7 linked regions of the Macaca mulatta genome follow. The protein of the gene in region 1 interacts with the protein of each later gene in a pairwise test. Links are inferred from orthologs where the notes say so. Each region holds a gene or a part of one and is shown in the gene's direction. Other genes may lie near its edges.

Evidence for each region.
Region 2: the proteins of TMEM79 (region 1) and SLN interact in binary tests that used the Homo sapiens proteins (3 or more experiments, as listed by UniProt). The two-hybrid records come from large-scale screens. The link is inferred for Macaca mulatta from reciprocal best matches to the Homo sapiens genes TMEM79 and SLN.
Region 3: the proteins of TMEM79 (region 1) and PLP2 interact in binary tests that used the Homo sapiens proteins (3 or more experiments, as listed by UniProt). The two-hybrid records come from large-scale screens. The link is inferred for Macaca mulatta from reciprocal best matches to the Homo sapiens genes TMEM79 and PLP2.
Region 4: the proteins of TMEM79 (region 1) and TNMD interact in binary tests that used the Homo sapiens proteins (3 or more experiments, as listed by UniProt). The two-hybrid records come from large-scale screens. The link is inferred for Macaca mulatta from reciprocal best matches to the Homo sapiens genes TMEM79 and TNMD.
Region 5: the proteins of TMEM79 (region 1) and RNF8 interact in binary tests that used the Homo sapiens proteins (3 or more experiments, as listed by UniProt). The two-hybrid records come from large-scale screens. The link is inferred for Macaca mulatta from reciprocal best matches to the Homo sapiens genes TMEM79 and RNF8.
Region 6: the proteins of TMEM79 (region 1) and SFTPC interact in binary tests that used the Homo sapiens proteins (3 or more experiments, as listed by UniProt). The two-hybrid records come from large-scale screens. The link is inferred for Macaca mulatta from reciprocal best matches to the Homo sapiens genes TMEM79 and SFTPC.
Region 7: the proteins of TMEM79 (region 1) and RPRM interact in binary tests that used the Homo sapiens proteins (3 or more experiments, as listed by UniProt). The two-hybrid records come from large-scale screens. The link is inferred for Macaca mulatta from reciprocal best matches to the Homo sapiens genes TMEM79 and RPRM.

The regions. Positions count from the first base shown.
Region 1 is NC_133406.1:110,640,373-110,644,125, reverse strand, and holds part of TMEM79 (transmembrane protein 79), read left to right. Parts: coding exon 1-258; intron 259-536; coding exon 537-750; intron 751-908; exon of another isoform or gene 909-1,063; intron 1,064-3,026; coding exon of another isoform or gene 3,027-3,108; exon of another isoform or gene 3,109-3,144; intron 3,145-3,753.
Region 2 is NC_133419.1:108,554,089-108,558,500, reverse strand, and holds the start of SLN (sarcolipin), read left to right. Parts: upstream 1-1,481; 5' UTR 1,482-1,621; intron 1,622-4,412. UniProt on the Homo sapiens protein: Reversibly inhibits the activity of ATP2A1/SERCA1 and ATP2A2/SERCA2 in sarcoplasmic reticulum by decreasing the apparent affinity of the ATPase for Ca(2+). Also inhibits the activity of ATP2A3/SERCA3.
Region 3 is NC_133426.1:49,246,450-49,250,746, forward strand, and holds the start of PLP2 (proteolipid protein 2), read left to right. Parts: upstream 1-1,493; 5' UTR 1,494-1,607; coding exon 1,608-1,703; intron 1,704-2,734; coding exon 2,735-2,887; intron 2,888-2,990; coding exon 2,991-3,086; intron 3,087-3,947; coding exon 3,948-4,038; intron 4,039-4,285; coding exon 4,286-4,297. UniProt on the Homo sapiens protein: May play a role in cell differentiation in the intestinal epithelium.
Region 4 is NC_133426.1:107,447,675-107,451,956, forward strand, and holds the start of TNMD (tenomodulin), read left to right. Parts: upstream 1-1,431; 5' UTR 1,432-1,478; coding exon 1,479-1,874; intron 1,875-2,100; coding exon 2,101-2,202; intron 2,203-4,282. UniProt on the Homo sapiens protein: May be an angiogenesis inhibitor.
Region 5 is NC_133409.1:144,868,364-144,872,116, reverse strand, and holds part of RNF8 (E3 ubiquitin-protein ligase RNF8), read left to right. Parts: intron 1-1,687; coding exon 1,688-2,425; intron 2,426-3,753. UniProt on the Homo sapiens protein: E3 ubiquitin-protein ligase that plays a key role in DNA damage signaling via 2 distinct roles: by mediating the 'Lys-63'-linked ubiquitination of histones H2A and H2AX and promoting the recruitment of DNA repair proteins at double-strand breaks (DSBs) sites, and by catalyzing 'Lys-48'-linked ubiquitination to remove target proteins from DNA damage sites.
Region 6 is NC_133413.1:23,801,273-23,805,485, forward strand, and holds the start of SFTPC (surfactant protein C), read left to right. Parts: upstream 1-1,365; 5' UTR 1,366-1,650; intron 1,651-2,432; exon of another isoform or gene 2,433-2,512; intron 2,513-3,444; 5' UTR 3,445-3,750; coding exon 3,751-3,811; intron 3,812-4,213. Other genes in the region: LGI3 (leucine-rich repeat LGI family member 3 precursor), read right to left, coding at 306-511. UniProt on the Homo sapiens protein: Pulmonary surfactant associated proteins promote alveolar stability by lowering the surface tension at the air-liquid interface in the peripheral air spaces.
Region 7 is NC_133417.1:58,348,100-58,351,867, reverse strand, and holds RPRM (protein reprimo), read left to right. Parts: upstream 1-1,568; 5' UTR 1,569-1,811; coding exon 1,812-2,141; 3' UTR 2,142-3,268; downstream 3,269-3,768. UniProt on the Homo sapiens protein: May be involved in the regulation of p53-dependent G2 arrest of the cell cycle. Seems to induce cell cycle arrest by inhibiting CDK1 activity and nuclear translocation of the CDC2 cyclin B1 complex.

The DNA.
Region 1 (3,753 bases):
CCGACCCCACTGAGCGCAAGTGGGCTGAGGCGGTGGTGAGGCCGCCTGGCCATTCCTGTGGGGGCTGCGGGAGCTGTGGAGACCGTGAGTGGCTAAGGGCTGTGGCCTCCGTGGGAGCTGCACTCATCCTCTTCCCCTGCCTACTATATGGGGCATATGCCTTCCTGCCGTTTGATGTCCCACGGCTGCCCACCATGAGTTCCCGCCTGATCTACACACTCCGCTGCGGGGTCTTTGCCACCTTCCCCATTGTGCTGGGTGAGCCTGTGAGAAGAAAGGGGAGATTGGGAAGTGGACTTGAGGAGGGCAGGGCCTGCCTGCCATGGGGAGCAGGAGGGTTTCCCTTCACTTGGCCTGGGCCCCTCAGGGTCTCCCACCCCCTGCCAGTCTGCATGCCCATATCCTCCCAGGACCACTTCCACCCCACTGTGTAGAGGCTATGCACTGCCCACAGTGAACCTGCCCCCAGCTTACTGCCTCTTGCGCCCTTACCCTGCCTGTTCTGACCCTACCCTGTGTTTCCCAACTCCACCCAGGGATCCTGGTGTACGGGCTGAGCCTGTTATGCTTTTCTGCCCTTCGGCCCTTTGGGGAGCCACGGCGGGAAGTGGAGATCCACCGGCGATATGTGGCCCAGTCAATCCAGCTCTTTATCCTCTACTTCTTCAACCTGGCCGTGCTTTCCACTTACCTGCCCCAGGACACCCTCAAACTGCTCCCTCTGCTCACTGGTCTCTTTGCCATCTCCCGGTAAGTTGGGGCAGGGGGTGGGCATGGGAGAGGGAATGGTGCTAGAGAACCTAGGCATCTGAATGTCTGGAGAATCAGGGTCAGGAGCTTTCCGGATTCTACCCTGGCCCAAATGTGTGCCCTGGGGAGATAAGCCCACCTTCTCTCTTGTACCTTACTTCAGCTGGTCAGCAGATGGAAGCTGATTTCAGAGATACATATAACCATGTCAAACAAAAAGGCTTTCAGGTGTCATCTAGATCTATGCACCCATTGCAGCCACTCCCGTGGCAATCTGGTCAGGTAGCTGTTTTGGTCTCTAGCTGAACACCCCCTATGACCAAATGTACAACTTAAAAATAGATATATTTTTTCAAAATAGAGAGAAGGCTGGGTGCAGTGGCTCATGCCTGTAATCTCAGCACTTTAAGAGGCCGAGGTGACAGATCACTTGAGGTCAGGAGTTTGAGACCAGCCTGGCCAACATGGTGAAACTCTGTCTCTACTAAAAATACAAAAATTAGCTGAGCATGCTGGTGCACACCTGTAGTCCCAGCTACTCAGGAGGCTGAGGCAGGAGAATTGCTTGAGCCCAGGAGGCGGAGATTGCAGTGAGACAAGATCGTGCCACTGCACTCCAGCCTGGACAACAGAGCTAGACTTCATCTCAAAAAAACAAATAGCCGGGTGCAGTGGCTCACGCCTGTAATCCCAGCACTTTGGGAGGCTGAGGCGGGTGGATCACAAGGTCAGGAGCTCGAGACCAGCTTGGCCAACAAGGTGAAACCCCAGCTCTACTAAAAATACAAAAAATTAGCCAGGTGTGGTGGTGGGCATCTGTAATCCCAGCTATTCAGGAGGCCGAGGAAGGAGAATCGCTTGAACCTGGGAGGCGGAGGTTGCAGTGAGCCGAAATCGCGCCATTGCCCTCCAGCCTGGGTGACAGAGCGAGACTCTGGCTCAAACAAATAAATAATTAATTAAAATAAAATAAAAAATAGAGATGAGGTCTCACTATGTTGCCCAGGCTGGTCGCAAACTCCTGGCCTCAAGCAATCCTCCTGCCTCAACTTCCCAGTGTGCTGATTACTCAATTCTTCATATAAACCAGTCTTTTTCCTTTTTTTTTTTTTTTTTTTTTTTGAGACGGAGTCTCGCTCTGTCGTCCAGGCTGGAGTGCAGTGGCCGGATCTCAGCTCACTGCAAGCTCCGCCTCCCGGGTTCACGCCATTCTCCTGCCTCAGCCTCCCGAGTAGCTGGGACTACAGGCGCCCGCCACCTCGCCCGGCTAGTTTTTTTTTGTATTTTTTTAGTAGAGACGGGGTTTCACCGTGTTAGCCAGGATGGTCTCGATCTCCTGACCTCGTGATCCGCCCGTCTCGGCCTCCCAAAGTGCTGGGATTACAGGCTTGAGCCACCGTGCCCGGCCTTTTTCCATTTTTAAAGGTACTAATTGTTAGACAGTTCTTCATACTGCGCTAAACATTTCTGCCCAGATTCTGACCTCCAGAATTGCCTAGGACAAATTTAGATATTTGACACAACCTCTCAATCCCCCCACTCTAACACTCTGTCCCCCTAGTATCTGCTTTGCAAAATGGCCCGGTTTCTTCACTGTCCTGGGAAGAAACTTCTGCCTGTCACAGTTGGGGGGCCTGGTTGAGGGTACTGTCCTCTTCCTGTTTGTCAATGACGAGAGGGCCCCGGTAGAAGGTACCGTCCTTTTCTTCATACAAACCAAGGACATGTGAGCTCTCGTCGCAGCCTTCTTACTCTTCTCTTTTTTTTTTTTTTTTTTTTTTTTTGAGACAACGTTTCACTCTTGTTGCCCAGGCTGGAGAATACAATGGCATGATCTCAGCTCACTGCAATCTCCACCTCCTGGGTTCAAGCTATTCTCCTGCCTCAGCCTCCCAAGTAGCTGGGATTATAGGCACCCACCACCAGGCCCAACTAATGTTTTGTATTTTTAGTAGAGACAGGGTTTCACCATGTTGGCCAGGCTGGTCTTGAACTCCTGACCTCAGATGATCTGCCCGCCTTGGGCTCCCAAAGTGTTGGGATTACAGGCGTGAGCCATCGCGCCTGGCCCTTACTCTCCTTTCATTCAGACTTTTTACCATCACCTAAAATCCTTAGGGGTATTTTCACATGAACTACTATTAACCTTAACCTAGAAGGCACCTTTGAATTTCTTAACCCAAATGCAGGTGTTTTCTTCCATTTTCCCTAATACATATGCTCTTGTTACTTTTTTTTTTTTTTTTTTTGAGACGGTGTCTTATTCTGTTACCCAGGCTGGAGTGCAGTGGCGCCATCTCGGCTCACTACAACCTCTGTATCCTGGGCTCAAGCAATTTTCCTGCGTCTGCCCCCTGAGTAGCTGAGATTACAGGTGTGAGCCACCATGCCCAGGTAAATTTTTTTGTATTTTTAGTAGAGACAGGGTTTCACCATGTTGGCCAGGCTAGTCTTGAACTCCTGACCTCAGATAATCCACCCGCCTCGGCCACCCAAAGTGCTGGGATTATAGGTGTGAGCCACCACGCCTGGCCTGCTCTTGTTACTTTTGATACAGGATTCCAGGTAGCTTGCTAAAATAAAATATTATTCCTGTTGAGCTAAAATTAATCTTCCAGTCACTTCTGATTGTGGTCCAGCAGTCAGTTGTCCCACCAGCCTCCTGACCATCATGCAGCCTTGCATTTTCTCCCAGTAGGTTTTCCCGAAATAAATATGTTCCTGCTCACGTAACTCAGCCTCCCATCTCAAACTCTTGGGGAATACTGGTCTCAGATAGAAGTTGGCTTAAGCAGTAAAAGTAATCAGGGAGCTAAAGGAAGACTCAGTGATTGTCTGGTCCAGGCTTCCCATTTTACAAAGGGGAAATCACAACAGATGTAGGGGAGAAGAGTTGCTCAGGTCGTCAGCAATAGTGTCAGCACTAGAATCCAGGTCCCTTCCCTCTCTTATCCAGGGTCCTTCTTTACCATGGACAAGTTCATTAAGCAGTTTGTGCCTCAG
Region 2 (4,412 bases), on another chromosome or scaffold:
TGGGTGATGAGATTAAAAGTAATTTAAAAATTTTAAATACTTTAATATATTTTCACATGTCCTACAATAAATATATAGCTTTTTATTTCAACAAAAAATAATTTTGAGTGGTTACAAAAAGAGACAGGTGTGGCTTGGTAACTAGGAAAACATTCCCAGCCTGGCAAACAATCTGGTGAGAGCTTGGAGGCAGAAGGCAGCACTCTGACTACATTCAAGGAGTTTGCCAGATGGCAACAGATAATGCCAATGTTCGATTGCACTATAATTATTATACACTCTCTGTCACTTCAGCAAGCTCTCTTTTCACAAGACAAGTGGGGACAGAATGTTGTATTAAGATTACCCATCGCTAAGCTTATGTTAAAATGAGGAAACGAAATGGAAAGTCTTGTTTTGGTAATGTCTCTGGGGTATGAGGAATGGAATGGACGGAAAGGTTTCACGACGGGCACAACTACGTAGAGAATTTCGTTTGTTTATGCCTTTTGGGAATGCATTATTTTGATTGACCCTAACTGGGAATTCAGAGGGGGAGATTTCCTCTATTATCTATAAAGAAAGGATCTGCTGAGCAAACACAATGGCTAGGGTCATGTTTAAAGTACTCAATTGATCTGCTTTCAAGTCTAATGAAACACTTCAGGGGCTCTAAACATGTGATATGTTGGTTACAAACTCATCTTAGTCTAATTTTAGTCAATGTTTGTGTTAGAAAGTTATATAATACTTGTCTTTCATTCAGATATATTCTATAATTCACATTTTCCACTAATTTTACCCCAGTTCTCCTTCCCCCCCAATCTATCCAAATAACTGAGTTGAACTCTGTGAGTTTACTGCTCTATTAATTTATTGACAGAGATATACAAACCATGACTTCCTCGGCTGTTTCAGATGAAACTGTAGATCCACATGTAAACTTGCAATGCACAGCTTAGCCGGAAAGTTATGTGGAGCAGGTGACTGAGGGGATAGCTTTCACTGCTTGGACTAAAGTCAGTTTTCAAAGAGCTAAAGATGCCTATTGAATTCTGGAGTGTGTGTGTGTGTGTGTGTGTGTGTGTGTGTATGGGTGTGCATGTGTGTGGGTGTAAAGCAGCAAACTCTTCACATTTCAAATAACTAAAGATATGGGTGGTAAAATGAAGTCACATTTTTACACCTCACATGCTGACTAGGGAGAGCAGTCAAATGCAGCATCGACTGGTTAAAATTAGTCTCTCATTCTTGGTTTAGGATGTTTTAAAGACATGTTAAAGATATTCGTGAAGATGTAAAAGATACATTTAAAACCCACGTCAATTGCACTAAAAGTCAACTGGAAACAGAAGGTTTTTAAATCCTGGTAGTGGCAAATTGGCAGCCAAAGGAACAGAGTCTTAGTCAACATATTCCCATGTCCCCCTGAACACAAATAGCCTCGAACCTTCGGAGGGTGTTCCTTTGAGATATTTCATCAGTGACATCACAGTGATTGCCAGCTTCCACGGACTACTTTAGGCACTGCCCAGAGTCTAGGAGTCCAGACAGCCTGGGAGGGGAGAAGGAGTTGGAGCTGAAGTTGGAGACAGCGAGGAGAAACCTGCTATAGCCAGGGTGTGTCTCTGATCCTCTTCAGGTAACTGCAGGATTTTTATGCTTAGCATACGGTGTGTGTGTGTGTACAAGCTGCAAATGAGAAAGGCACAGGAATGTTTACATTTCTTAATGAAATAGGCAATGCCCCTTGTATACAGCGTGCCTTAAGGTATAAAGTGAATACTATTGCTTTCTCTTTTCCTTTTCTTTCTCCTAAGGGTATGCATTTTTTCCCTTCCTAGTAAAAAAAAAAAAAAAAAAAATTTTTTTTGGTATTATGGAAGAAGGTCTGTTTGCTATCTTCTCTAAGTCTCCATTCAAAGAAAACCAACGTCAAGCTTCCTGTACAATTTATTCAGAGCTTTTTTGGGTTTTAGTTCATCCACTTGCAATCACTGGATCATATGGCATGACCTTGACTTCAGGGAATGTTTAAAATGAAACCCAAAGTGTCTTTATGGGTTAACAGCAGAAAAATGGAACTTGGCTGATCTGAATTTCTGCCTAACTGGTTCATTCTTCCTAAAGTGTATAAATGTGTGTGAAAGGAATGTTCACACCACACCTTACAGTTAGTATATGTGTTGATTGAATTGAATTCACTAGAAATTCTCAACTTAACTCTTTATGTTTAATTCATCTAAAATCACATAAAACAATAAATACTTAAGGTCACCGTTAAAGTGCAAGAAGTAGTAAGAAGTAAATCCCAAGAAAGAAAGAAGTGTGATGGGTAGCCTGCTAATTCAGAGATGACTGAAAAAAAAAATGTAAAGAGTGCATAAACATATACAGTTTAAACAGTAACTAAAAGGCAACACTTCTATAATTATCATCCAGCTCAAGAAACAGATCATTGCCAGCGCCCAGAAACCCATTCCTGATCAACCCCCATCCTGCCCTTCTGCCTCAGATGTTGGGATCCTCTTGTCCCTGTTATTCTTTATAGTTTGACCATCTATGTGTGCATTCCTAAACAGTATGATTAGCCTCCCTATTTTTGACTTCATATAAATGGAGTCATATTCTATGTTTCTTTTGTAAATTCTTTCACCCAACAGTTATATTTGTGAGATCTACCCATTTTGTGTGTAGCTATAGTTCATACGTTTTCTTTGCTTTATAAAATTCAAATGTATGAATATACCACAATTTATCATCCATTCTGCTGTTGATAAACATTTGAGTTGTTTCCAGCTTGGAGTTATTGTGATAATATTGCTGTGAACCTCTTTGTTTATGTAACCTGGCACACACGTCCTTAAATGTCTTAAGGTAGAAGTGAAATGCTAGATATTAGAGAATGAACATTTTCACCATTAATTCTAAGAAAGCCAAATTGTTTTCCAAAGTGGTAGAAAATTTATGCTAACTTTGTTTAGCCAGGCCAGTTAATTGCAGTGATAATTCAATTATGTCATAACTCCTAGGAAGTGACCACAATTCTAGTAACTAGTTCCAGTCTGCTAATTCTAGCTTTGCCTCTAACTTGTTATCTGTCATTACACAAACATCTTAATCTCCTCTCTCTAAAAGTCAGTTTCTCAGCTGCAATCTTGAGAAAGAGAAAAACTGCAGTAACACTTGCCTGCGTTGTTGTGAAGGTAACACGAACAGAGCTGTGGAACAGCTTTCAATAGTATTTTTCTCATTTTCTGAGTATATCCTGTTGGATAACTATCCATGATTCCTGTGACTTAACAGCTTAATTTAATAGGCAGATTTGGTGGGACCGTTATTTTGCCCTCCTTGAATTGAATTGTTTTGATCATTATAAGCCAGGCTTCATATTTTCTGCATTTCTTGAGAACTTACCCAAATAAATGGACATTTGGACTAGGGTTTTATTTCATTGATAAGTCTATAAGAAAGAATCTGTCTTCATTTCTCATTCCTTTGCCTCCAGGCACCTTGGCAAGACTCATTACCTTTCTGTTCTCCTCTGCTCTTTTGTACATTCTCATAAATCCTTTTTCCTTGATCCATTCATTTTCTTCTGTTTACTTTCTCCTCCAAGCAAATCTTTGTAAAGATTTTCTATTTTTTCCCCTTTTTATTTTCTTGGAGAGACAGGGTCTTGCTATGTTATCCAGGCTGCTCTTGAACTCCTAGGCTCAGGTGATCCTCCCACTCATTATTAGACTGCCTGAATAATGTGCAAGCCTCCCAAAGTGCTCATTAGAGGCATGAGCCACCATGCCCAGCCATTTGCGATCGTTTTCATTGGCAATTTACTATTTCCTTCATGCTGAGGTCTAAAAGATGGATAACAATTAAAAGGGAGATGAAACATAAATCTGTCATCATTTGGCTATATATTTGCTGGCTGGCACCATCCGATTTGAACTTGTATTTTTTTTTGAGACAGGGTCTCATTATGTTGCCTAGGCTGGTCTTAAACTCTTAGGCTCAAGGAATCCTCCCACCTCAGCTTCGCAAGTAGCTAGGACTACGGGTACCCACTGCCATGCCTGGCTGAACCTGTATGTTATGCCAGTTACACAATACGAAAAATGATTATTCAGTTGGCATTTATGCAATTAATAATTTGGTCCATTGATAATATAATCAATACAGTAATTACAATTAATAATTCAGTCATGTTAGATAGTTAAAAAAATACCGCTCAGACCAAAAGCTTGCTCACAACCCTTTCAGCCTCTTGAACTCTCACCTTTAGCAAACAAACAAAACACCTTTTCTCCCTAAACTTTCACTCTACAGTAGACTTTGGCCCTAAATATCTAAGATATAAATATCTAATTATTCAAAATACATAAATCTTTAATTTCATTTAGACTGCCTGAATAATGTGCAATTTACACTACCTC
Region 3 (4,297 bases), on another chromosome or scaffold:
TTCTTTCTTTCTTTCTTTCTGTTTTTCCTTTTTTGGAGACAGGGTCTTACTCTGTTGCCCAGGCAGGAGTGCAGTGGTCTGATCATGTTTCACTGCAGCCTTGAACTCCCGGGCTCAAGCAACCCTCCCACCTCAGCCTCCCGAGTAGTTGGGATTACAAGCACGCGCCACAATGCCTGGGCTATTTTTTTTTTCTTTTTTTCTTCCTTTTTTTTTTTTTGAGATGGAGTCTTGCTCTGTCACCCAGGCTGGAGTGCAGTGGCGCAATCTCTGCTCACTATAACCTCCACCTCCCGGGTTCAAGCAATTCTCCTGCCTCAGCCTCCTGACTAGCTGGGATTATAGGCGCGCACCACCACACCCGGCTCATTTTTTGTGTGTTTTTAGTAGAGACGGGGTTTCACGATGTTGGTCAGGCTGGTCTCGAACTCCTGACCTCGTGATCTGCCTGCCTCGGCCTTCCAAAGTGCTGGGATTACAGGCGTGAGCCACCGTGCCCGGCTGCCTGGGCTAATTTTTAAAATTATTTGTAGAGACAGGGTCTCACTATGTTGCCAAGGTTGATCTCTAACTCCTGGGCTCAAGCGATCCTCCCGCCTGAGCCTCCCAGAGTGTTGGGATTACTGTCATGAGCCACTGTGCCCAGCGGAGGAACACTTTTCAATCCTTACCCAGTTATTGTGAACATTCATACCTTTTCTTGAAGACATACCATTTTGTTTCTTTGTTTTTGCTTTTTTTTTTTTTTTTTTTTTGAGACGGAGTTTCACTCTTGTTGCCCAGGCTGGAGTGCAATGGCGTGATCTTGGCTCACCGCAACCTCTGCCTCCCAGATTCAAGCGATTCTCCTGCCTCAGCCTTCCAAGTAGCTGGGATTACAAGCATGCATCACCATGTCCGGCTAATTTTTGTATTTTTAGTAGAAACGAGGTTTCTCCATGTTGGTCAGGCTGGTTTCGAACTCCCGACCTCAGGTGATCCACCCGCCTCAGCCTCCCAAAGTGTTGGGATTACAGGCGTGAGCCACGCGCCTGGCTTTTTTTTTTTTTTTTTTTTTTTTTTTTTTTTTTTTGTAAACGCGACAGCTCCAAACCCCGCTGAGAGTATATGCACGGGAAAACTTTCTGAAATCAAAAATATTCTGCATTCTGGCAACACACTGGGCCACAGGTCTTTCGGATTTAACTCTGCCTAGGCCGTTTTATTCAGTTAAGGAAACTGAGTCACTCCCTCCCAAAGCCAGATTCCCGCGGTTCTAAGCTGAAGCTGTCTCGGGTCCATTTGCATTCCAAAAAGGCGAGGGGTCCCTCTATTACTACTCCTGGTACCTGGAGCTGCCAAGTACCCTGGCGATGGGGCGCCTCGGGGGCTGTGCGCCGGGCTGGGAGTATCCTTGGCGGGCGGGGCGAGGGGGCTTCCGGGGCGGCAGCCACCTGGCCCGGCTCCGGCCCCGCCCGCGTCATCTCTGCGCGGTGATTCACTCCCTCCTTCGCCCCGGGGCCCCCTTCCCGGCCAGACGGCGGGCAAGACAGCTGGGTGTGCAGCGTCCTCGAAACCACGAGCAAGCGAGCAGATCCTCCGAGGCACCACGGACTCCAGCCCATGCCATGGCGGATTCTGAGCGCCTCTCTGCCCCTGGCTGCTGGGCCGCCTGCACCAACTTCTCGCGCACCCGAAAGGGAATCCTCCTGTTTGCTGAGATTGTGAGCGACCTGGGGCAGGCGCGTGGGCAAAAGCGGGATGGGGTGGCTGGACCACGCGGAACTGGATGGTCCGGGTGAGGCAGGCACTTGGCCGGGGCGCTCGGCAGTGGGGTGCAGGTGGGTGGGTTCACGGTGAAGGCCCGAAACCCGGGGCGCAGGGCGAGTCGGTGGGGTTTGGCGAAGGTTGTTGAGATCTGGTAGCCCCCGGGGTGAGGCAAGGAGCCTATAACGCATACGGAGGGCTACATGGGGGGAGCTGCGTTAACTCATCAGTGGACTCATCGAAGGGGTCCCAGGGTGCTGGGAAGTCGGGGCCTCCTGCGGCAGGGCGTGGCGCGGCCTGGACACAGGAGGGCGGGCTGGCAGCGCGCCCAGGGGCAGGGCCTGTTGGGGTGGGGCCCCCCCTCGCGCTAGTCCCGCGGTGTAGAGGGCCCCGCCCTTCGCCAGTTCTTCCTTGCCCTTCTGAGGCCGGGCGGGATGTCCTTAGGTTTTCGGGGTTTCCACCCTTCTCAAAGTGGGCGCCGCCTTTGAGTCACTTGTAAAAGGGGTGCGGCGCCTTTAAGGGAGTCCTGCCTCTCTGGTGTCACTCTCACCGCTTCCCAAAGGGGTTGCTGGGGGAACCGCGTGTTCAGCCCGGGTCAAGGCCACAAAGCCGGCGTCAGCGGGGCTCACAAAACACCTGGCAGCGCCACTCCCCTCAGGCTGCCCATATCCTAGAAGGGAAAAGGGGAGGAAACTGAGGCACCCAACTCTACTTCATACTTGCTGGGTGACCCTGGCCAAGCCATTAAACCTCTCTGCACCTCAGTTTTCTCATCTATAAATTAGAGAGAGTAATAATAGTACCCAGAACATTAGATTGTCGTGATGATTGAATTTGGAACACAGTGAGCACATAAAAAGTGTTTAGCTATTATTGCGTGTCATTTCCCCAGCGCTCATAGTCATTCGAGTACGGGACTCCTAATTTAAACCAATCTCCTCAGCCCTGGTTGCTGATTGAGGTCCCCTTTCCCATGTCACCCTTCCAGATATTATGTCTGGTGATCCTGATCTGCTTCAGTGCCTCCACACCAGGCTACTCCTCCTTGTCGGTGGTTGAGATGATCCTTGCTGCTATTTTCTTTGTTGTCTACATGTGTGACCTGCACACCAAGATACCATTCATCAACTGGCCTTGGAGTGTGAGAAGGGGTCCACAATGGCAAGGCCAGGGAGGGGTCTGGGCAGTTAGGATTGTCTGGGAACTGTGGATGCTGACTTCCCTCTTCTCCCTACACCTCACAGGATTTCTTCCGAACCCTCATAGCGGCAATCCTCTACCTGATCACCTCCATTGTTGTCCTTGTTGAGAGAGGAAACCACTCCAAAATCGTCGCAGGGGTAAAGGCCATGGGAGCAGCTCTGAAGCACAGAGAGAAGGGTTTGAGGAGCCAGGGGCCATTTCTGCCTTAGCTTCCAGCAGAAATCGTGTGGCCCACAGCAAGTCACACTTGTCCTCAGGGCATGGAGGGAAGTTTGGCACAGGACTTGCTTTTGCCTCCCAAGGTCTTCATTTGCTGTGAAGGGCAGTCCCTTGTCATTCACAAGGACCTTGGTGAGAAGTACAAACAGGTGGCCCCTTTGTCAACACACTGGACTACCATCTGCAAGAACTTTGTCCCAAATGTAGTAGGAATTGGGGCTGGGCGCAGTGGCTCATGCCTGTATTCCCAGCACTTTGGGAGGCTGAGGCTGAGGCAGGCAGATCACTTGAGGTCAGGAGTTCAAGACCAGCCTGGCCAACATGTTGAAACCCCGTCTCTACTAAAAATACAAAAATTAGCTGGGTGTGGTGGCAGGTGCCTGTAGTCCCAGCTACTCAGGAGGCTGAGGCAGGAGAATCACTTGAACCCAGGAGACAAAGCTTGCAGTGAGTCAAGATCATGTCACTGCACTCCAGCCTGGGTGACAGATGGGTGACAGAGTGCGACTGTGTCTTAAAAAAAAAAAGTATGAATTGAATTGTGCCCCCTACGTGTAAGGCCACAGTGTGGCCTCCCTGTGTTGAGGGGTATAGGAGGAGGGAGAGTGGGGTAGGATGCATTATCTTGGCCTTTCCCTGGGGTTCTTTGGCTTCCCAACCTGGGGCTTGAGTCCCGTCCTGTATGGGGCAGGTGCTGGAGGTGGTAGATGCAAGAAGATAAGAGACTGAGTAACCTGACTTCCTAATCTAACCCTCCTCACTCCTATCCTGTCCCCCAGGTACTGGGCCTAATCGCTACGTGCCTCTTTGGCTATGATGCCTATGTCACCTTCCCCTTTCGGCAGCCAAGACATACAGCAGCCCCCACTGGTAAGGGTGTGTGTGTGTTGGTTGGGGGTAAGGGGGTTGCTGAGAGGGCAGAGGAGAAAAAGAAAGGGATCTCTTAAAGGCATGAATGCCAACTCTGGTCCCGTATTGGTACTGATGGCTTTTGTACCAATAGGTACCATAAGCTTCAGTATTCTTGTGTGTAAAATGTTCACGGACTTTGGATCTTGTTTTTAAAAAATGGGCATATAGATTCAGCCAATGCTTTCTCTCTTTTCCTCACCTGCAGACCCCGCAGATG
Region 4 (4,282 bases), on another chromosome or scaffold:
GAGTTCTAAGTATTGTTTTTCTTTCACTTTTAAAATGGTTTTTTAAAAAGACCTTGCCAATACTCAAAAATCTCTCTTTAGGAAGATAAGGATGTGCCATTGGTGGGGAAAATTTATTCAACAAATACTTAGGTTCCAACCATGTCCAAGGCACTGTAGAGCTACCAAGGGGTAAATGACATTGACTCTTGATTTTCTCTTCAGCAGCTACATTAGACTTGCCACCCTTGAAGTAATACTTGCTTCTACAAATGGTTCCAATTTGTTTTTCTCTAGTTGAGTTGGTGAATATTTGACCAGGTTAAACTAACATTCAGTCAATGGCATCAGCAGACACTAAAAAACGACCCAACCTGGTGTAAGTTCTCTACAAGGCTGCCACTGGGAACCGTATCATTAGAAAGCAATGTGGGCTCTGAAGACTTGCTTTTTAAGGCTTTTAGTTTTCCAAATTTTTTTTCATAAGGAAAAATGAATATGAAGAAACTTGATAAACAAAGGTCTCCTAATGACAGAGATAAGATAGACTTCCAAAAGGCATCATCAGGTCTGGCCTGGTTCGTGACAGATAACAAATTCCTTTACGCTTATTTGCTTCTACCTATAAATATGCCCTAAAATTATAAGATAAGGGCTTACTCCTAAACTGCAGTACCATATGGGACTGGTCCTCTTGGTCTCTAGAAATACAATTGCCTCTTTTAGAGCACAGGAGAACATCTGGGGTTTTGTTTTAGCCACTCAAGAAAGACCTGATGAACAGCCTTTCTTCTTGGGAGGCTCCACGTTACTTAATGCAGGACACTTGGCTCAGTTGGCTTAATTCCATATACACAAAAGAATCTGCAGAACTTGAAAACAACTGAATATGGCTTGGGAAACAGAACCCAGGAACAAACTGGGTGGGGTTGGTTGCCCTATAAAGAGAAGACTAAGGAAAGGTATAAATGTTTCCTGGAGTTTAAGGTGCAAAAGGAAGCAAACAGAGCAGGGTAGGACTAATATTGGCAAGGAGAAAGTCTTCAGATTCTAAAAGGATAGACTCAAGGCTGTTGTGGCAATATTAAAGCCCTGGATAGATAAGGAGACAAACAATACGTAACCATTTTAAGTGTATTCAAATCTCTTTCTCAGACCTAATGAATTTCATGGGCGAGGGAAGGGGCAGTGTGGGGGGATTGGGGGGCGTGATTACTTAGCACTTGGAAAGGGAAGTGGTAGCTTAAAGAAGCAGCATAGGTTTTAGGTGATCCCTCAGCTTAACACAAGGGGAAAATACTTTATAGGCTGGTTTACAAACTATCATTTGCTATTTAGCCAAGGCTGCCAAGAAAACTGTTGGAATTCTTAGTAATTAGTTCAGCAGCTTGGCTTGAATTCAAAATACCAGCTCTGAAGTGATCTCCATATCAGCTGCAGCACCAAAAAGCACCTCACTTTAGGGACACACTGAGTATCCTTTTTTTTTTTTTTTTGAGATGGAGTCTTGCTCAGTCGCCCAGGCTGGAGTGCAGTGGCAAGATCTCGGCTCACTGCAAGCTCCGCCTCCCAGGTTCACGCCATTCTCCTGCTTCAGCCTCCCGAGTAGCTGGGACTACAGGCGCCCGCCACCACGCCTGACTAATTTTTTTGTATTTTTAGTAGAGACGGGGTTTCACCGTGTTAGCCAGGATGATCTCCATCTCCTGACCCACACTGAATATCTTAGAGATTGTTTTCCTCTGTTCTCCCAGACCTATGACATGGAGCACACTTTCTACAGCAATGGAGAGAAGAAGAAGATTTACATGGAAATTGATCCTGTGACCAGAACTGAAATATTCAGAAGCGGAAATGGCACTGATGAAACATTGGAAGTACACGACTTTAAAAACGTAAGTTGGATGTTTTCCCCCTAAGGCTTTCCACTTAAAATATTAGAGCAGTTGAGTCAAGTTAAAAATAGCCTCCATCTAAAATTTGAATTCAAATGGAAACCTAGAGGAGGCTAGCATTCCATTATGAATTCAAATTTTGCTAGTCTGGTACCCCAACAGATCATGGAACTTACTAATAGTGGGTCTTTTGGGAAGCTTTATTGTTGTTTTGTCTGTTTCATAGGGATACACTGGCATCTACTTCGTGGGTCTTCAAAAATGTTTTATCAAAACTCAGATTAAAGTGATTCCTGAATTTTCTGAACCAGAAGAGGAAATAGACGAGGTATGTAAGAAGAATAATTGTGGTGGCAAAAGACATCATTTATTGGATGCTACCTATGTGCCAAACATTGTACTAAATGCTTCACTTTTCTTTGATTCTCCGACAACCTTATAGATAGGTGCTATTATTATCATCATTTTCAGATCAGGAAACTCGAACTCAGAGCCAAAAAGTGACTTGCTCAAGGTCACACAGCTAGTGAGTAGCAGACTGGGGTCTTGAACTTAGGCCTTTCAAAAAACTGAATTGCATAATTTTAGGTGCAATGCTATACTTTTATACCAGGGCACCCATTAACATTATGTTGATTTTCTCTGAAGCCAAAGATTTCTAGTAAGAGGGATGAGCCAGAGAAACAAAATCTTGCCTCAGATAAAGCATTTTTAAAAAAGAAAGTTCCAAAGCCACCTGGGGTTCTTGCCACTTTTGTCACACTTCAGTATTCACCTATTTTAAAGACTGTGGTTCATTCACCTTACCATTTTATGCTGGGCTGCTAATGGAATAATTCACTTTTATTTTTATTTTTTGAGACGGAGTCTTGCTGTGTCACCCATGCTGGAGTGCAGTGGCCGGATCTCAGCTCACTGCACGCTCCGCCTCCCGGGTTTACGCCATTCTCCTGCCTCAGCCTCCCTATAGCTGGGACTACAGGCGCCCGCCACCTCGCCCGGCTAGTTTTTTATATTTTTTTTTTTTTGGTAGAGACAGGGTTTCACCGTGTGAGCCAGGATGGTCTCGATCTCCTGACCTCGTGATCCGCCCGTCTCGGCCTCCCAAAGTGCTGGGATTACAGGCTTGAGCCACGGCACCCGGCCAATAATTCACATTTAACCTCACTAGGAAAGGCAAAAGCAAAGAAGGTGAACACTGAAATGTGATACAAACTCTCTAAAAACACCCTGCTAGGCCAAAGTAAGGCAACCTAGGGTGCTGGTGCAATCACTGAATGGCCCCTGAAAACCTAATGGGAGATGGATGTTATTGCCTATAATACAACTATCTGTAAGGTCCCTGAGGCTCTTTATTGTTTCCTGATATTTTGTCTATAATTACAGTATGGTTTTATTAGTGGGAGAAGGGGGACCTCAGTTAAGGTCATATTGTGACAACATATCCCCACTATAGCAAGAAAAAAACAAGCATTGGTTTAGTTTACTGCTTAGCTGGCAAATCTAAAGTGGAATTATGGCAATGTCAGAGTGATCCTTCTTTATTTATTTATTTATTTATTTATTTATTTTTTGAGACGGAATCTCACACTGTCACCCAGGCTGGAGTGCAGTGGGGCAATCTCAGCTCACAGCAAGCTCCGCCTCCTGGGTTCATGCCATGCTCCTGCCTCAGCCTCCTGAGTAGCTGGGACTACAAGCACCCGTCATTTTGTTTCATTTCTTTTTTTGTATTTTAGTAGAGACGGAGTTTCACCATAGCCAGGATGGTCTCAATCTCCTGACCTCGTGATCCGCCCGCCTAGGCCTCCCAAAGGCTGGGATTACAGGCGTGAGCCACCGTGCCCGGCCATGGCAGAGTGATCTTTCTACAAACTATAAAAACCTCTTTCTTTCTTCTCTCTCTCCCTGTTCTTTTTCACTTTTCTCCCACCCAGCTCCCTCCATCTTGATTCTCACTAACCCATTTCTTTTCCTTTATTTTTTCTTTATTTGGGGGTAGTGGGTGGGGAGGACTATTTTTCCTTCCCTTACCCAAGTCTTAGAGCTGTCATTGGCTCCCATTTTACTCTTTCATGCTACTGGTCTCCTCAGGGCCAGAGAAGTTACAGACTCTTGTTACTAGAATTTCCAAGAAAACAAAGAACGTTCTCCCAAAGATGATGCTCTGCTCCCAAGGTCTATGGTAGTGACAGAGTTTGGAGACTTTTTTTTTTTTTAAAGTAAGCATGAGTTAGATGCATCTGAGGAATAGATCAACGTTCAGGATATTAGGAATGACTACAGTAGGCAAAGGTAAGATAAAAGGAAAATCAATAGGATTAAAAAGCTACTATACACAATAACATATGCTAATTACGTTCAGAAAATAATGTAAGCATTTGAGTAGGCCAGACAGCAATGAGAAC
Region 5 (3,753 bases), on another chromosome or scaffold:
CTCTGGCCTATCCCCTGAACTTAAGTCCTTGATATGGGTTAAAATGCTCGCCAGTATATTTCAACTCTGAATCTTGCCTTTGTTTCAAGTCTATTTTAGGACCTGTCATCTCCATTTAGCATCCCTTAGCTCTCCCAGCTGCACATGATATTCCTTTGCATTTATAGGCTATGCCATTTAATCCCACATTTACTTATTTGTGCCCTTGTGTTGTCTTTTCCACAGTCAGCTGCTGAAAGTTTTCATGTCTTTTCACTCAATATATTTACCTTGCATGACATTGAGCATAGAATTGAAATGATTGTTGATGAATCAGTTGAACCAAGGCATAGTAATAGTAGTGAACACTTATGTAACACGATGCCCAGGCACTGTCTAAATAATTGCCATATGTTATCTCATTAAATCCGCACAGACACCATAAGGGGAGACTTATTTTCCTCCATTTTATTGATGCAGTAACTGGACCATAAAGAGGTCAAGAAACCCGGCCAAAATCACCCAGCTGCTAAGTGATAGAGCCACATTACAAACCCAGGCAGTCTCACTCCAGGATCTGTGCTCTTAACCTCGATACTATGACTTCTTTAAAACCATAAAAGTTTATTTTATTTTATTTATTTTGGAGACAGAGTCTCGCTCTGTCACCCAGACTGGAGTGCAGTGACACAATCTCGGCTCACAGCAACCTCCGCCTCCTGGGTTCTAGCAATTCTAATGCCTTGGCCTCCCAAGTAGCTGGGATTACAGGCATCTACCACCACACCTGGCTAATTTTTGTATTTTTAGTAGAGAGGGGGTTTCACTGTGTTGGCCAGGGTGGTCTTGAACTCCTGGCCTCAAGTAATCCACACACCTCGGCCTCTCAAAGTGCTGAGATTACAGATGTAAGCCACCACTCCCAGACAGTAAATATTTATTAAGCATTTATTCTATGTGAGTCATTGTGCTAAGTGATTCACATGCATTATCTTATTCATTCCTCACAGAAACAGTATGAGGTAGGTACTGTACTATCCCTATTCTGCAGACAAAACAGGCATGGAGAGGTTAAGTGAATTGTCAAATGCCATGCGGACTATGAACCCGCATCTGAGTCCAGAGCTCCAGCTCTTAACCATTATCCTGTATTGCCCATATATCCCTGTTGGTATTAATTGGCTCAGATCCTATCTGCCATTTGACCCCAGTACCGGATTTAGTACTCTCTTTTTTTTTTATTTATGTGTGCGTGCTTGTTTACCAGTGTGTTAAGGAACCACATCCAGAGATAGCATTTGAACCTACTTCATGGACCTCATCCTTAACTACTGCTTTCTTCACTAATAATATTTTTTCTAGTTTTGGGACGTTGCTCCAGTTTAGGTCAATAGGAGCTAGCCAATTTCAGTTTCCTTTAATGCTATTCCATGTGTTTGAGTAAATTATCCACCAATAATAAGGTGATTCCTGCCTGTTAATATGGCAGTTCTCTGTGGACGCATGAATGTGAAATATAGGTAAAAAGCCAAAGCACTGCTTAACGAATGCTGTTTCTAGGGATGGTAGTTTATGAACCTTTCTTTTCTATTTGTTATCAAGAGTTTTCCTTCTGAAAAGGCAGAAGGTTTTACAGCAGCAGGAGAGAGGTTCCATTAAGAAGACGAAAATCACGAAGCTTATTTCTTCTGTCTTTCACTTTCCCCAGAGTCTAAATGGTGTTTGGCTGAACAGAGCACGTCTGGAACCTTTAAGGGTCTATTCCATTCATCAGGGAGACTACATCCAACTTGGAGTGCCTCTGGAAAATAAGGAGAATGCGGAGTATGAATATGAAGTTACTGAAGAAGACTGGGAGACAATATATCCTTGTCTTTCCCCAAAGAATGACCAGATGATAGAAAAAAATAAGGAATTGAGAACTAAAAGGAAATTCAGTTTGGATCAATTAGGAGGTCCTGGAGCTGAAGGCCCCTCAAATTTGAAATCCAAAATAAATAAAGTGTCTTGTGAATCTAGTCAGTCAGTGAAATCACAGGGGAAAGGTGAAGTGGCCAGTACACCCTCTGAAAATTTGGATCCTAAGTTGACTGCCCTTGAGCCAAGTACGAAGACCACAGGGGCTCCCATTTACCCTGGCTTCCCCATAGTCACAGAGGTTCATCATGAGCAGAAAGCCTCAAACTCTTCAGCATCTCAGAGAAGCTTACAGATGTTTAAGGTGACCATGTCCAGGATTCTGAGGCTGAAAATACAGATGCAAGAAAAACATGAAGCCGTTATGAATGTGAAAAAGCAGACCCAAAAGGGGAACTCAAAGAAAATTGTGCGAATGGAGCAGGAACTGCAGGACTTACAGTCCCAGCTGTGTGCAGAGCAGGCGCAGCAGCAGGCAAGAGTGGAGCAACTAGAGAAGACTTTCCAGGAAGAGGAACAGCATCTTCAGGTACCACACAGAAGGGAAGGGCAAGAGTGGTCTTCAGGAGTGGGGCGGGCACTTCATGAGCCTCTGGCCAGAGTTCTCAGTTTCTGGGCCAGGTACCAAATTCTGAGCACCAAAGACAAGAAATGGAATGGGAACAGTAAACTTTTGAGATCAGGGAAGGGAACTGAGTAGAGGGTTAAGGCGTCAGCATGCTGATGAGATCAAGAGCCAGAGATGGGGTGCCAAGATAGGGTAAAGTGACCAGCAGAGCCAGCCAGGACATAACTCATCTCAGGATGCAAAGCTGAGGCAACTCAGAACCAACATGAATTCAGGGGGAAGTTAGGTGAAGGTCAAGATGCCGCAAAACCACAGTATAGTCCAATTAAATCATTAGTTGTCTTCAAGACTTACGTATCTTTGCTCTGTGGCCAAGGCCAAATCACTTAGTCCCAGGGCAGGTACAGGTCAGCTGGTTCCTCTGCCCTTGTACCTGACAGTTTGTTAGCTATAAAGGTTAGTTAACTCTGTAGCTAACCCAGGAGGTGAGAGGCTAAAAAGGCAGAAAATGTTTTTGTTTCTGTTTTGAGCAGCCAGCATGTGATGGGACAGATGCACCATGACTGCATTGTTGGGTTGAATGATAAACCACCTTCCACAGTGCTTATAGTAGGAAGGTAAAATAATGACTATCTTAGCTTTGTAAAGGTAAGACCAAATGTGTTTCCATCCCTGAGTCATTTGCTTCAATGACAAACTCTTGCACAAAGCTTTAGGCTAGAGCAGATCCTGTCCTTGCTCAAAATGTCATTTCCTATCTGGCAGGAACCACACATTTTACTCCCACCCAGTTGCTCAGATAATATTGAATGTCAAGAATTCCCTATTGTTGACTTAGAACTCACACGGACCAGTCACAACTAAAGTGAATAAACTTTTTTGTTTGGGTTGGTCAGGGTAAGGAACAACCAGAGGTAGTGTTGGCTTATTTCTGAGCAATTTATAAATTTCATTCTAATCTCTGCCATCCCCTTGAACTGGTAGTATTAGCAAAAGCCATGGATTAAATAGGTCTTTTGAGAGTATACACTGCTTCCTTACATGTACCTTTTTGCTTCCCTTATCCAGCCTAGACTAGTTCTTGAAATTAGTAGAGGGTGGTTTATGTCTACGTGTTTAGTATATCACACCTTCACTAGGACAGAACTCTCTGTAAAGGCTAATATGTTCACGAACAAGTTACTGTTGATTAATATTTGTGGCTGCTCTGGACATGCCTCAAGGTATAGCTGCAAAATCTTTTTTTTGAACCAAAATGTTAAAGGCAAAAGGATCAGTTTGGATAATTT
Region 6 (4,213 bases), on another chromosome or scaffold:
TCGTGTAAGCAACCCCCCCCCACAAGTCTGGAGCCCAGCACACAGTAGGTCTCACTGACGCTCGTGGTGGTGATGATTCATTCTTGGTGGTGAACTCCTGCTTTCCCCACCCATGGCCGCTGAGGCTGCAAAACTGCAGAACTCCCTGCCCGACTGGGGCCTGGGCTCTCCAGCCCTGAGGACCCCTGCAGTCCCCCTGGTCCCCACACTCTGAAGAGGGGGAGCGAGGGTTCTCCTGTCCTCTCCCAGAGCTGTCCTCGGCCTCCTCTCCCTCCCCACCCCCAAGGCCGGGGCTGGACACTCACAGGGAGATGACCTCCGAGGGCAGGTTCCTGGGCACTGCCTTTGAATCCACGCAGAAGGCGGTGTCCCTGGTGCAGGAGCAGCTGGGCGGGCAGGGGGGCGTCTTGGGGAGCCTCTTAGCGCTGACCTGCAGCATGAGGCAGAAGCCAAGCGCGGAGAGCGCCAGCAGCCCCGGCGCCGGGCCCCGCCTGGCCCGCAGCCCCGCCATGCTGCCCGCGAGCTCTCCCTGGGGCCGGCAGCCGCGGACCCGCCCCACCGCTCCCGCGGCTGGGCCACCCCGCGCGGGCTGGCACCTCCCGGCCACCGGCAGCTGCTGCCGCAGCCAGGGGCCCGCCTGCGGACTCTTCTTGCCCTCGGGCGCCGGCTGCGGTCCCCTCCCCTGCTCGTTCCCGCGATCCGGCTCGGGAGAGAAGCGCGGAGCGCGGAGCTGGAGCCGCAGCCGGGGCTGACCGCGCGGGGTGGATGCGGACTGCGGCGCGGGCGGCGGGGGCGCGCGCGGGGCGGCAGTGGGAGGCCCGAGTCTGGGAGTCACCGAAGGGGAGGAGTGGCCGCTGTGTGCTCTCCCGGGCTGTCTCTGGGGCCATCCGCGTGTGTGGCTGCGCGTGAGTGCATGCGTGTGAGCTTGTACTTGTGCCTTCGTGTGCTGGGCACGACCGTGCGCGCCGGTGCTCACCTGTCTCTGCACGGGCACATGCACACACTGCCTTGTGGAGGCGCTTCGGAGTTAGGGATCTCTGTGCTTCTGTGTACCTGGATTTCTTTGCATGGGGGGGACACATCCCCTAGGCAGCATCATGGGCATGTCGTGAGTGGCAGACGCATATCTAAGTTAGCATGCAAGATTAGAAGCACAAGGGCGTCCTGGAGGAGTCTGAAGTGCGCTTCTAACTGAATTCACATGTTTTTCCACGCGCCACTGAACAGAATGTACCTTTGTGTCAGCATGAGCTGAAAAGGGAAACACAGCCTCTGGAGCTGGAGTGGGACTGTGTGGAATTCTGGAACATTTCTCACTGCTCAGCCACAGCCTGTTGAAGCTGGGAAGCGCTTTAGATATTTTTCAGTCCAGCCCTTTGTCTAACAAATGAGGAAACTGAGGTCCCCCAAAAAGAGGCTGGCTAAGTTTGCAATCTCAAGTGTTCTGTACTTTCCCTACTTAATCCTCTCAATAGTTTGAGGCAGGTGATAGTAATTCCCTTTTACAGACAAGAAAAGTGAGGCCTGTCGCACCAGAAGAAAAATGTATCAGCAGGGATTTCTGCCCACTGTGCCCAACTTCAACGTTCACGGTTGTCCTTCCATGCAGGGTTCTTCCAAGTGTAGCCCTGGGCCTTCTCTGTCTCTGAGGTAAAAACAATTTCCCTAGTATTGTCAAGACATGATTTGCCCTTTTCACTTCTATGAAGTTCCAAATTTAAAAGATTTCTAAAACTGTAAAGGAGTGACACTTTCTAATTTTATTTTTGCTTTGTAAAATAGTTTTTCCATTAAAAATGTGATTTATATCATAACATATAATGGGTTTATTACTGATATTTTAAATTCATATGTAAATAAAAAGATAATTTCTCAATAAATGTCAACAGACATATCCCACATAAACAAAAGCTCTTTGGGGTCTTCAATACTTTTTGAGAGTGTTAAGGGGTACTGAAACCAAAAAGCTTGAAGACTGCTGCTCTATACCACGTTAGCTTCCCCGTGGCGGAGGATGACTGTCCTAAGAGCTCATAGGCATGGGGCAAGGGGAGCCTGGCTGTAAGCTGCCTGGGCTTCTAGTCTTGTGCTCTTTCCACACCAGTCCAGGGAACTGAGACCAATGGCTTTAAGACGCTTCCCCAGCTGTCCCTAGACTCTGCCAGCAGGGGATTCTCTGGTCTGAGCTTAAGTCGTGTTCTCCCAGCCAGGGATGCCCCTGCACTTTGATGTCTACTTGCTGCCACACATTTAGCTGCCCTCCCCATGCCAACTTGGGGGCAGGGAAGCAGTGGGGGTAGGGAGGTGGCTGGGGCAGCTGGGCAACTGTTCCCACCCGTCCCTGGCACGGCTCTGCCCAGTACACAAAGAGCAAAGTGAATCTTGTCCCCACCCCTGCAGCTGAGAGGCTGGAGGAGGAAACGGGGAGGCCCACACAGAAGGGGTGGCCACTGTGGGGCTGTCCATTGCCCAGGGCTCTCAGAGGGGGTCAACCCAGAAACAGACAATGAGGGCGAGTCTGGGCTGTATTCTTAGCTAGTGGGAGGTCCCCTAGAGGATGAAGTAGATGATGCTAATGATGACGACTGGATGTCACACCCATGATGCCATTAGGTCCTTATAATAGCATAGTGAGGTGGACAGCTAGTACCTGACCCATCTCACAGATGAACATACTAATGCCTAGCAAAGCAGAATGACTCACGCTGGGTCCCAGAGCTGGCCAGTGGAAGCACTGAGACCTCCACATACAGAAGGCATGGACTATTGGCCACTGTTGGTATTGGTCTCATCATTGACTATCATTAAGTGTTGGCTGTTTGCATGCCTCCTGCCCAGTGGCAGGTTCAAAGAAGCCTATGGGAAGCGTGCTCCTTTCCTTCCCAGGGCCTGCAGTTGGGCTAGAAGACAGAGCAACAAAAATCACCCATGTAGCTGACAAGAACATTCATATGTGCTGAATGGCAGGTGAAGGTGCCACAGAGAGGCTGAGGATTTCAAAGGGCACCATGAACTGGAGTGAGGTCACAGAGCAGGTGCCAATGGCACTTGGCCTGTTTGGGTGGGTGGCATTCAGAGAGATAGAAGGTCAGATGCAGGGTTCACACTTGTCATCTCAGCACTTTGGAAGGCCAAGGTAGGAGGATCACTTGAGGCCAGGAGATGAAGGCTGCAGTGAGCTATGAAGCTGTCATTGCACCACTGCACTCCAGCCTGGGTAACAGAGTGAGACATTGTCTCTAAATAAATAAATAAATAAATAAATAAAACCGGAGAAGTGGAGAGGGATTGGAGGTTGGCTTTCACAGAGGGAGAAATGGCTTAAGCATTTCTCCCATAAGGAGAAAAGGCAAAAATGTGAGAAGGCTGCAGATAGGGCTGGTATGGGGGAGGGGGAAGGTTGGCACACCCAGCTAAAGATCCTTCTGTGTTTCCTTCTCCAAGGAACCCAGGACCTTCACCTGGTTAGTGTGAGTGCTCCAGGAGGCGGGCACCCTCCCTCAGCCCTCAAGCAAAAATGAGTTTTAAGGAGAAGCAGCAGCAACAGCAGCCACAGAGCTTATGACAGCTACAGCCTAAGGGCAACAGGCAAGGGAGACCAAGGACCAGAAAGAGCAGAGGCTTTTTCAAAGAAAGAGACCCCTCTCCTAGCACCCAGTGATGGCGGCAAGCCCCACCCACAGTGCCTGCTAAGAACAAGTCCCACGTGAGGACAACACGGCCCCCTGAGATGCCCACAGGGACCCCGAGATGCCTGCAGTGCTTGGCTCTCCCGCTGGCTGGCTGCCCACCTGGCTCAGGCCCAGTACGTGTGAGTCAGCTGATCAATCGCAATGTTGCCAGGATGATGGGGGCAGGAGTGGGGGCCCTGGGGGAGGGCAGGGGTGGGCACTGCAGGCGAGCTGTCTCCTACATCTGGCACCTGCACACAGCTGAGGCCGAGCTGAGAGGACGCTTCTCTGGGCTCCCCCTCCTCCCGGCACCCCTCCCCTCCTTTCACTGTCCTAGGACACTCTCGAGCTGCTGGAGTCTTAGGCAAATATTTAAAGGGGCAGCTCGGGGGTGAGGAGGGTGGTGGGAGCAAACACTTCCTTCCCTTTCTTCCTTCCTGCGCTTCTCAGCTTCTCAGGGGCTCTCAGTTCAGATGCCATGTTGTTATGCAACCTTGGGGCCGAAGGCCCTCCAGGTGGAGGGGGGGACAGGGGAACCTGCC
Region 7 (3,768 bases), on another chromosome or scaffold:
GATATACAATAAACATCAAAAAATTGAAAACTCAACCAGAAGGCATTTCATTCTATTTTATTATAGTCATGAAGCAGTGCAAAAACATTTAAGGAACACTCTGAAGATGGAATAAATAACGTTTTAAGAAACAGAAATAAGAGGATTTACCAAGCAAACAGAATGAAATTTAGAGTTGAAAATGGCAAGACAGCTGCTTTTCAGTTTTATTTTATTTTTAATTGACAAACAATTGTACATATTTATGAGGTATAAAGTGATATTTTGATACACATATATATTGTGGAATGATCAAATCAGAGTAATTAGCGTACCCATTATCTCAAATTTTTATCAGTTCTTTGTGGTGAGAACATTTAATAGAAAATAAATGTATTCTGTTGAAAGCTCAAGTTACTGGTTTCCAGCTGTTACAGCTGAAAGAAAGAGGGAGGAAGGCAGGGAGTAATGGGGAAAAGGAGGGAGGGAAAAGAAAATAGAAAAGGGGGCGCGGGATCATGCAGTATTCTTTCAGAGTTAAGAAACTTAATCTATAGGTTTATAAAATTTCGTTGGAACCTACAGCAAAATCACAATGGCTGAAGCGTCAATCAGGCCCATACAAACATCTGTGTTTAGTTTAAATGACTAAGGGTGAAATGCATCAGCTTATGGAAAATGGGGAGGGCTCCCAGCATTTGGCCAGCGTTTTAGGTGATGGATGTTGATGAGCAATTCCTTTAAACAACTGATTTACTGCCAATGGACAAAATGCTGGAAGCACATCCAAAAATTCATCTGCAATTAAAATTACAAGCAAGTGGTCACTGTGTTCACTTCCTTTACCAGAGAGGTGACCCCTGCTCCCGGCAACCACCTCCACCCAAGGGCCACAGAAGAACTCCTCCTTCCTCTAACCCCCTTTCCTTGGCCTCACACCTCATGATAAAATCTGCCTTGCTCTGTCTCCCAATCGCTTTTGTAAAGGAAGTTGAGTGTAGAGCTCTTTTTTCTCCCTGCCTTCCTTTTTTCTTTCTTTCCTTCCTTCCTTCCTTCTTCCATGCCTTTCTGTCTTTCCAAATTCATTACTTTGTAAGAAACATTCTCAGATCACCTCCACTCCACCAGAAATCCAACGCAGGCGAGACGGAGTCAAGCACAGGCGGTGGGCGGGTGGCCTCAGCTGGCACCATCTGGCACCTGGGATTCATCGCCACTTTCCATCAGCCCAGAGGTCAGGGGGACAGCCGGCAGAGGACACGCAGAGCTCGTGTGTCCCAGTTCCTCTGAAACTTTCAGCTGACCGCACCCTCCCCCGCCAAACTCTTTTAATCATCCATCAAGCTAGAAGAGTACGATGACCTCTGCCTGGCCTTCGGAGTTTGCAAAAGAAGAAAGCAATAAAAAGCAAGACCAGGTTCGCCCCTTTGCTTCCTCCACCGCCCAAGAGTAGCGCGCAGCGCGGCGGTGCGGCCGGAAGGGGCCGCTGTTTACTCAGTGCAGCCGCCCCGCCGCTGCAGCCGCCGCTGCCCGCACCTCCCACGGCCGGGCTGGTCCAGCCCCGCCAAGTTCCAACAGCCCCCAGTCGAGCGAGCGCCGGGAACGAGCACCGCCCGGGCTGGAGCGGACGGCTTTAGAAGAGCCTAGCTGCTGCGCGCGTCGGAGAGGCTCCTGGGAAACTCCCACGGCCCAGGGACTTTCGAAAGCAGAGCTAGGAGCCCTTGCAAGCGCTAGTCTGCGAGTGAGCGCTCAGCTCGGCACCTGTTCCTCCAGCGCCGCCGCCTTCCCACCCCTCGGACCCGCGCCGCTCGCGGCGCCCGCCCGCTCCTGCGATGAATCCGGCCCTGGGCAACCAGACCGACGTGGCGGGCCTGTTCCTGGCTAACAGCAGCGAGGCGCTGGAGCGAGCCGTGCGCTGCTGCACCCAGGCGTCCGTGGTGACCGACGACGGCTTCGCGGAGGGAGGCCCGGACGAGCGCAGCCTGTACATAATGCGCGTGGTGCAGATCGCCGTTATGTGCGTGCTCTCACTCACCGTGGTCTTCGGCATCTTCTTCCTCGGCTGCAATCTGCTGATCAAGTCCGAGGGCATGATCAACTTCCTCGTGAAGGACCGGAGACCGTCTAAGGAGGTGGAGGCAGTGGTCGTGGGGCCCTACTGACCCGCCCCTCCGCCCCCGCGGCAACCGCTCCCACGCCTGCCCACTTTGCCAGCCCGGCTGTGCCCCTCACTGTCAGAGACTGGGCGAAGCAAACCTGTCGGAGTCAATTATTTCTCTCGACTTCGGCCTTTCGGAAAGAAGCGACCGGTTTCTCCCTCGCCCTCTGAAAGTCCTCATGCCTGGCAGTCGGAGGAGAGCGCCCGGACTTCTGGACTCAGCAGAAAGTGGCAAGAAGAAGGCGATTAGGGCGCAGAACTTTGGAAGCTGCTACTTACTTGGAATGCGGGGAGAACGACGGGGCGCAGGCCCTTCTCCACCCGCAGGTGGGCCAAGCTCTGGGGGCAAGTGGAGAGGGAGGGCAGGGGAGAGACCCAGCGGCACTGATCGCCTTGTGACCGGAAAAATGACCTGTTAAAAGCCACGCAGCAGACATCATGGGGTCTCACAAATCCGTGTCCGGGTGTGCTCCCACTCTTCTCCTGCTCCCCACCAGCCCTGGAGGGGAGAGGCGATAAATACCTTTGATTGTAACGTGCTGTTTTAAGAGGTTTTGTGTTTGTTTGCTTGAATACAAATATTTGATAAGTCTTTTTCTGCCCCAGTGGCCTGTTTGCCTGCCTGAGGGGTTAAAGTTTTGTCGTTGTGGGAGAAGGGGTGGGGGGAGGGGAGCCTGCGACTTTGAGGGGGGTGAGTTGTTTCTTTTAGTGCATTTCCCACTGGGTCTTTTGGGAGGTGTCTAGCGTTCCTGCTGGCCCTGATACAAAGACCCAGAATAGAACTCGTAGCTCGTGACTGCACGGTTTACGCCACAAAAGTGCTCTTGACATCCGTGACACCGTTTTGACTTTTTGTTTTTTTTTTTTCTTATTTAACATTTCCTTAATAAATGCAACATTTAAGCGTTTTGTTCCTGGCCTCCTGGTGGTCATTCTGCGCTCCCCAGCAGGGGGGGAACGGGGCGGCGGTGCAGAGTCTGGCTCCCGGCCAGGGAAATTCACCCTAGAGAGCTGCGATTCAACTTGTGGATCCCATGGAGGGGCGAGGGTGGGGCCAGACGGAGAGGCCCTGGGATGACTGAGACAGAGCCCAGCCTCAGGCACAGTAGCCGTCCTGGAGGTAGCATCCTTTGTTTCCTCTTATCGTGAATATTTTATATTTCATTTAGTCTCAGCTCTCAGATAGGCGAGACTACAGGAGGGCCCCCGCGGGAAGATTACACTTCCGTGCCAGGCTCCGGCGGGAACACAGGATTACACCGCTAATGAAAGGAAGAGAAGGCTTGGACAGCCTTTACGGAGAGCGTCTCTACCCTAACCAACGTCAGCGAGGCGGCTTTGGGATGCTGCCCACGGGCGGGGCCGGGGCATGGGGAAGGGGAATTATAAAATGCAAGGAAAAGTAGCTGCTAAGGTACACAGTGACGTTAATGCTCCCTGGGGTAAACCATTGTTACTAAAACATGAGATGCATTACTGTCGTTGCTATATTACTTTTTCTGGCAAAAAAAAGACCAGGTTAAAATAAAGGTTCAGCCTGTTCTTTGTAATTTAGACTGCCCCAGACCAGGCAAAGGGTTGAGAGGAGTTAGCCGAGGTCCTGAATGTGGGAGATGAGTATTACAACCCCA